Drosophila melanogaster: one gene and its partner. The protein of the gene in region 1 interacts with the protein of each later gene in a pairwise test. Each region holds a gene or a part of one and is shown on either strand. Other genes may lie near its edges.

Region 1 (2,923 bases):
TGCGTTCTTATCAGAGCATACAAATGTTTTATCTCGCTCGGCGCGTGTGCAAGCCATATTACACTGGAAAAAAGGGGGATTTATTATTACAAATTTCTTGTTATTTCGCACAATGATCATCATATGGCATCTACATTATGGCATTTTTTTATAGCTCTGAATCATGTTCTTTATGTTAAGGATATGTTTTTCTTTAAATGTCGAGCTCGTAATAACACATAGTATTTTATCTATCTGTAAGGACAACGGCAGGACAAAAACCAAGCCTTGAAAGTCGCCTGCGGTTGCGCTCTCTTTCTGTTCCTTCTGTGAGTGAGTGTTGTGTTTTCCCAATTGTCGGATGTGCCCGTGGGGGAGGGGTTTTGCCCACTAATACCAGCACCAACACCACCACACATGCACAGCCAGTTAGACACTTTCTTTTGCTGCTTGAGCTTCCGTTTCCGCTTCTACTTCCGCTTGCCTGACCCGCTCCAGTTCGTCTGCCTCACTTACTTATGCATAGCATATAACCTTAAACATAATTTTGTTTGCCTTTTGTGTTCTGTTGTGTCCTCGTGCAATTCTATTTGCCAGTGCCCGTAGATAGCATTTTCTTATCTTTGTTTGCTTGTTTTTTCCATCAAGCGCGTAATTTTATCTATTTAACTCGTGCCTAGGACTTGCGAGACTGCTCGAAAAGTGCGGTTCCTTAAAGCTGGATCGAAAAGCATACTTTATTTTGAGCATTGTGGACCACAATTCAAGTGTCAAAGTTTGCACTTGAAATTATAATGGTCAGGCCCCAAAGCCCATTGGCCCGGTGGCCATAACAAAGGAATGTTGGCTACAATTCAACCCAAAACCAACCATCGTCCCCATCAGCATGCCAGCCACCTTCCACAAAGTTGAACCCTAGGGTCAAAAATTCGCACAATGTCAGTCGAGTCGGGTTTTGTGAGGCATAAAAACAAAAAAAAAAAAACCAAAAAAAAAACTTCGGATGAAATGCATGCCCCATTGACATATGAGTGGGCGTGGCACTCTGTGATGGGTGGCGGGTTCGTTGGATTGCCGAGGAAATGGCAAATGCATGCAGCCACTCGATATGAGCTATGCCCATTTTGGCTCCAAATCCACCAACGTTTCATTCCTACAAACCCCCTCTGAATCCATCTCTCTGCGTTGATTGTTCGATTCAAACATTTTGGCATGTTTTGGGCAGCTGAACTAGTTTTCACTTTTGCCCCAACTAGCCACAGTGGAGGAAAGGGCATAAAAGTTGAAACAAAAATGGCATTAGCGCTAAGCTAATAATCTGTAATATATTAGTAATGATTTCCTTATTTCAGTCAATATAACATGGACAAATTTTATTGAATTTAAGAATAGATTTTATGTTTATAGTAAGAAAGATTACTGGTATAAGTTTAATATTTTTGTAGGGAGCCAACACTTTTGCAAGCTCAAATTGAGAGTGTAAAATCATAAATGTTTTCTTTTTGAAATGTCGTGGTCGAAAACAATCCACTGTTCTGTTGTCGCCCAGCTGAGGCCGAAATGTGTTAAATCCGCTAGAAAAGCGGTTAACCGAGTAAACTGCAAATGCAAAATGCGGTTGGTTCACTTCGGTTCGGTGGGGTGACGTCCTGGCTTGGTCCGGCTCTGCTCCTGCTCCTGCTGCTGTTTCTATTCCCAGACCATATTAAAGGCAATGCCAAAGTGTTGATGGGTCAGTTTCGGCCGCATGCTGTATTGTGTTGGCAATGCCGAATCATTTTTGTACATTTCATGAGTTTTTTTCATTATGGGATAAAGTGTCGCTCAGTAGGCCAGTAAAACATTTTCACTGCGTTCGCAGGCTTGATCACATAGCATATACAGTAGAAGCGAACAAACGAAAAAAAAAAAACAAAATAATAATACTGCTTAAAATCAAGATGTCATCCGAAGAAGAGGTTTGTCCAATAAGATATTTCGTAAGTTACGACTTTTCATTTTGAATTAAAGGTATACACGGAGGAGGAGACTGATCAGGCCATGTCCTTCATTCGTGAGCATGACCTGCCCATGTCGGAGCTGCAGTATGCACTCAGATATGTCCGCATTCTGCGCGAAAACAAATCACTGAGCGATCAGGTTATGGGAATCCGTGAGCCACAGAATCCTGTTGCTGAGGTGGCGCCACCGTCATTCGACTGGAATGACAAGGAGAATAAAGCCGTGGCCCGGGATCCATAATTGCATTAAATGTTTTTAAGTTTTTTTTTATTGATTTGCGTTCTGCCTTCTGCCCTCTAATTGTCAACGATCAAAGCGCAATTTTAATTATTCGAAAATATGTAAACAAGTTTCGCAATAGTTGGCAATGGCTATATTAACAATTGTAATGCAAAATTAAAGATATTTTTTCTGTGCCAGCAGTAAAGTGTTCTCTGCAACAGTTTTCTTTGCCCAGGTTTTGTTTTTGGCGGTCCATTTCGACATCTTTGCATTCAACACTCTAGAGTGGCCCCGCATTTCCTGGCGAATTGCGATTTTTAATTGTCAAACGCAGTCGGGTGACAAATGAAGGCGTGAAGGAGTTGCACCGGAGAAGCCATAATGACAGCTGATAATTTATTCAGCAAGTGCAACAGCTGAGCGACGGGCAGGAATTGTTTTCCAGCAGCCATGAAATATTTACAAGGGATAAAGGAGCAGCAGCAGCAGAAGAAGGAAGCCGTGTCCTGTGCCACTGAGATGAAATACATCCGCTTGTCATTGTCCGAGGATGGCCGAGTGTCCAGATCTGCTGTAAAATGCAAATGAAGTCCCGGTGATTTCCACCCTCGCCGAGAGACTTGCATTTAATTAGGAATTAATGCGGCAGTGTGGGGGTGCGTTTCGGCACTCTGCGGTTAAGTGAAAGTTGAGCTTTTGGCTTAAGCCGCCTAAGCCGCGA
Region 2 (4,970 bases), on another chromosome or scaffold:
CTTGCGGCGGCTGTTGCCTCATCATCTATTGCAAGTCTGTGCCGATTCTAACCTGTTTTCTCTGCAGAAACTCTCCGAAAAAGTCCCGTAAGAAAGTCCCAGTTATTCAAGAGGAAAAACCTGTTACACGCAACTGGCTCAGAGAGCTGATTGCCAAGAAAATGGAGACGGAGAAAAGCAAAGAACAGAACAGAATCAAAAAGAAGCCAGCGTATAGCCACAATAGCAGCAGAAACAGCAAACACGTTAGTACCGTTGCCTCGGATTCTTTGTTGCGCAACTGTGTTGCAAGATTAGCTGCGACTTCCAACTGGTTTATTGCAGCCCCACTGTCGATGAGGCAACAGTTGGCCGGGCCATTACTGTTGTTCTGCCTTGAAGATGTGGTAAAATCTTTTGGCTAGAATCGGAAATCCAACGGCGAGACTGGCGGAGGTGCTGCATTGCATGTCTTGCAGCTTGACTGCATATCCCATCCATTTGTTTGCGGCTATTGAAAGCCGTTGCCTTTTATAATCAATTAGGTTTTTTTTTTTAACTTTTCGCCAGCCTAATGATTCCAATAGTCGCCTATAGCCAGGCAAGGCTGATTTTTGAGGCGAAATATCACCAACCAACTATTTTGATTACCAGAGAAACTCTGTTTCAAAACTAGCAAACTCATAAGACCTTTAGCAAATCTATTACAATGCTTGAAAACAATTTATGGAATTATTTGTCATCGTGTTTGGTTCTAAAGAGAATTAAGACCCTATTCAAGTTATATTCTATATAAAATTATTTTTTTAATTCCCTCTTTGTTAAAATTTGATCCTTTTCAAAAGTATTATGTATTCCATTCCTTAATTATAAAATCATCTAGACATAAATCGATTTATTGTAAGAACTTAAATATATCCAATAGTTAATAAAGCTTAATATTTTAGGAATATCATAGCTACTCGTGGTCTTATGTTTAGTACTCCCCATTCTCACTAACCTCTGATGGTGCTGGGCATGTTATCCGGGTTAAGCAATCTCATCAATGGACATGGACTTTCGTTCAGACACCCAAATCGGATCAGATCAGTGTCAAGGCCTTGAACTCATCTCCCGGCCATGAGATCATAATAGCGATCGTAAAATCGGCGAATTAGTTCGAGTCCCAGTATTGTTCTCGGATCAAATAGTTTTCAAACGGCGAAGTTAGCCGGCGAAGGCGATGATGAAGCCGGCGGAGTGGAACGGATCAGAAAGGAGAGCAAGCGTAATCGGGACTGGTAGCGATCCGATGAGAGAGCCCGGAATCCGAGTGGACTGGACTGGACGTGGGGACAAACGATTGCACACTAAATGGCCAGAGACCGAGTCAAAGACCCGTTGCATCCGATGATCATGATCGCGCTCATCATCGTGGTCATCATCCTCTGCATCGGCGGTGGAATCATCATCCTCTGGCGGGAACCTGTGTGCGGAGGCGAGTGGGAAACCAAGCAAGCTCCAAAAAGAAACAGAAACAGAAGCTCAGCCGAGAAAGGAGAAAGGAGCTGCAAGATGTTCCCACCTCACACACGCACGCGCTCACCAACACACCTGCAGAAGGGGCGCTCACCACAATTCCTGCTAATTAAATGCGTGATCACTGCCCAAAAATAATCGCGCAGCAACCGAAAAGCTACAGTCCCGCCTTCCTACAAAGGATTTTATAGAAGTCATTCAATAAAAAGTACACCAAAGCAAAAAAAGATTTCTGACATTTAATCATTTTTAAAATTCGTCAAAATAATGATATATTTGCATGTGAAGTTTAAATAGGCTTATAGAAAAACCGATTAGCTTTTCTTTGAATAAAATTTTCCATGGTATCTTTTAAAAATAACAAAGTTTTAAAACCCCTACAGCATGAGAAGAGAAGATATAAAATACTATACTAAAATATCGATTTATGGAAGTTGGCCTGTATGGGCTGGTAACAAATACACATGCCAGCGGAGTCAAGCGTGCATTTCATCAGAGATGGGATGTCCGAAAGTCCGAGAGTCTGACTGTTATTCCCAATGATACACGTAGTGCTCGGTACGAAGAGTTGGGGACCGAAGCCCGTGACGTTGCTCGGCAAGTATCTGTGTATCTTTGGGGCCCGTCATCGGATCGCAGCGCGCTCAGTTGCACCTTTAATCGCTGAGCAAACAGGAAGACTTCTACGGCAAACACACACACATGCCCACTCGCACACACACTCGCGCTGTGGGATGAAAAGGGGAAAGGCGTAAGAGGGGAAAAACAGGTTGAGAAGTACCGCTAAGCAGAGGCCCCAACTTTCCGAGGTCAACGAACGTTCTTAGCGCTCAAGAATGAAGGAATCAAAACACACCAAAAAATACAGAGCGAAGAAAAGAGAGCGAGAGAGGTGCTGAGAGAGAGTAAAGAAAGCACAAAGAGAGAGAAAGCCAAGCGATCGACTTAAGAGCGCGACAGGTAAGCGCTGCAACCAAAACCAAGAGAGCCAATCCGAATACGAAGAGAAAGAAGACAGTATCTTTTATTGTGTTTTTGTATGCACATGCACTTTTGAAACGAATTTATCTGTTGCCCACAGCTAAATGAAAAAGCTCACAAATTGTGTATTTTTAGCCGCAGATTTAAAAGAACAAAAAGGGAGAGAGCGGAACAAAAGCCGCATTGTAACTGTCTGTCTCATGACCAAAAGAAACCGAAATTCTTATTCTTATTGCTCAATATTTGGTAATACACACTCATGGATACAGATATAGATACAACTACAGATACATGTGCATTCGACGTGCAAAAGCCATTCAATGTAGCGGTATTTTGTCGAAATTTCCTGAGTCTCGAGACGAGTACAAAGCTCATTGACCTCATGCTCTCCCTCTTTCTTTCTTCTCTCTTGTGCCTTCTGCCCCATTCCCTTGTAACAAGTGTGTAATGAGCGGGGAGGGGGGACTGATTTGCTGTTTCTGATATTTTTTGGCGTTTTAAGACGGGCTTCCAGCCAACATAAGATTCGAACATTTTCGGCTTTTATGCCTTCCTGTGCGACTCTTCATATTCTTCGTTTTCCCTGGGGAATTTCGTTTAAATCTGGCCAGATGGGGTATTTATCAGTAAGCCCACACAACTTAGAAAATGAGGGACGTATTTAGCTGGCAGCCTGTTGATGCCATTTGCGTCTACTGCAATCCGATTGGTCAGTGGATTTGTTTCCCTACCGAAGGACACCTCTTTCCATTGGCTGTTGCTTCCCCCTCTCTCTCTCCCACTCTCTTTCATCCTGCGTCGTGCTCAATGTCCTTTTGTATTTAAACCGCCTGTTGCCGATTTATATGCTCTTTCTCTTTGAAAGGAAGTATTCGTAACCAAAAAGATAACACATTCATAAAAATGTTGATAACTACACGTAATACTTTTAAGCTCTTGACGTTTTGTGACTCATTGCCTCTATATTTCATAATGAATAAGAAAAATTACATTAAATTATCAATTTATTTTTAAAAGTTATTCATTTTAAGAAGCCCGAATTTTAAATAAATATATACTTATATAATAATATATATATTAGAAATAATAAAACTTATAAAATAATAAATATATAATCATTACAGTAAAGACTTTTAGGAAGACATCCTAGAAGAGTATTCAAAGTTGTGCACCAATGCAAACGCTTTGCTCTAAGCTTATTGTTGTCATCACCCATTTTAGGAAAATAGCCATCCTGCTGTTTAATAGCAATTTCATTTGGATAGTCCTTCGTTTTTGCATCGGAGAACAAACAGTATCCGGGTATAAATAGGTCCTGTTTGAGTCCGATTCCATTCAGTTGGACTTTGATTCGAGTCCTGTGCGTGTCAAATTGAAATCTATTGTAATTGTGCGTATATAACTTGGTAGTAAAATATTCCCGAAATATATAAAAAATTTTGAAATACTATAATTATTGTCCAGAAGATTTTTAAATAAGTGTTTGAAGAAAGTGTTTAGCTTAATCTCAATATATTTATTATAATAAAATTATTTTAAGTATATAAATAAAAACTAATATCTGCTGTAAATGATTAATAGCCATATAAAATGTAACCAGATTATCTTGTAGTTGTTTGAATTTTCTGTGATAATTTCTAATGAATGCTAACATATTTTTTAAATTCCCTCGTTATTTACAAATGCTTAAAAAGCCACAATGTTGCTGTTCTATGACTATCAACATTATTTGTGAAACGGCAAATATTTAATTCGATTTCGATCGATGAATTTCAGTTCATGTTTCCATCGTTCTAAATGCATGACAAAATGCAGTTGGAGTATGGGTGCACACACTGCAGATCGTTACAGATATAGTTAATTTGCGGTATTTAAAATATAATCAAGCAATGCAAGTCAGCAAGCATAAACAATTAGAGGGTGCTTTCCAATTTAAACGGAATTTTGTTGGAAATCAGCTGGCAATCCGAGCGCATCCCCCTTGGTTACACCCCTAATGTCGTGCTGCCTATGGGATGGCCAATTAGGGAGCTCCGTGTGTTCCAACAACTTGCCAACACATCCCACAGCCAGATCGGATTTGTAGTGCAGCCAACAAGCTAATTGGTTCCGGCCAGGTCTATAAAAGCCCGGCGCTATCCCAAAAGCCCTAGTTATAGGATAAATATTATCACGGCCGCAATTAGGTAACCATCCATCGGATTCGAACCCTTCCAGTGCCCGAGGTGCACCAACTAGGTGTTTTCACAGCTGTTAGCGTTTTCATAGCTTTTCCAAGCGCTTTTCTTGTCATTTCCATTTCCAGCGAACGCCAGAAGCCCCACAACATCGGAAGTGCACAAGTTTCTATTCCATTATATTGTTCTCCGTTGTTTTTTTTTTACTATTTCCCACCAGCGGTCAGACGGTTGACGTTCCCAATTCGGCATTTCAATTTGGCATACGTCCCCGAAAAATGGAGCTAGCCTAGCCAGAGTCCAACAGGATTAGGC

What was found. The genes of interacting proteins can lie anywhere in the genome.
Region 2: the proteins of CG14113 (region 1) and Hdc interact in a two-hybrid assay, tested with the Drosophila melanogaster proteins (one large-scale study listed by BioGRID).

Annotation. Positions count from the first base shown.
Region 1 is NT_037436.4:13,327,299-13,330,221, forward strand, and holds CG14113 (uncharacterized protein), read left to right. Parts: upstream 1-1,836; 5' UTR 1,837-1,919; coding exon 1,920-1,937; intron 1,938-1,989; coding exon 1,990-2,220; 3' UTR 2,221-2,401; downstream 2,402-2,923.
Region 2 is NT_033778.4:10,236,019-10,240,988, forward strand, and holds the start of Hdc (histidine decarboxylase), read left to right. Parts: upstream 1-1,969; 5' UTR 1,970-2,457; intron 2,458-3,813; exon of another isoform or gene 3,814-3,868; intron 3,869-4,850; exon of another isoform or gene 4,851-4,875; 5' UTR 4,876-4,970. UniProt on the Drosophila melanogaster protein: Required in photoreceptor transmitter synthesis. Catlayzes the conversion of L-histidine to histamine.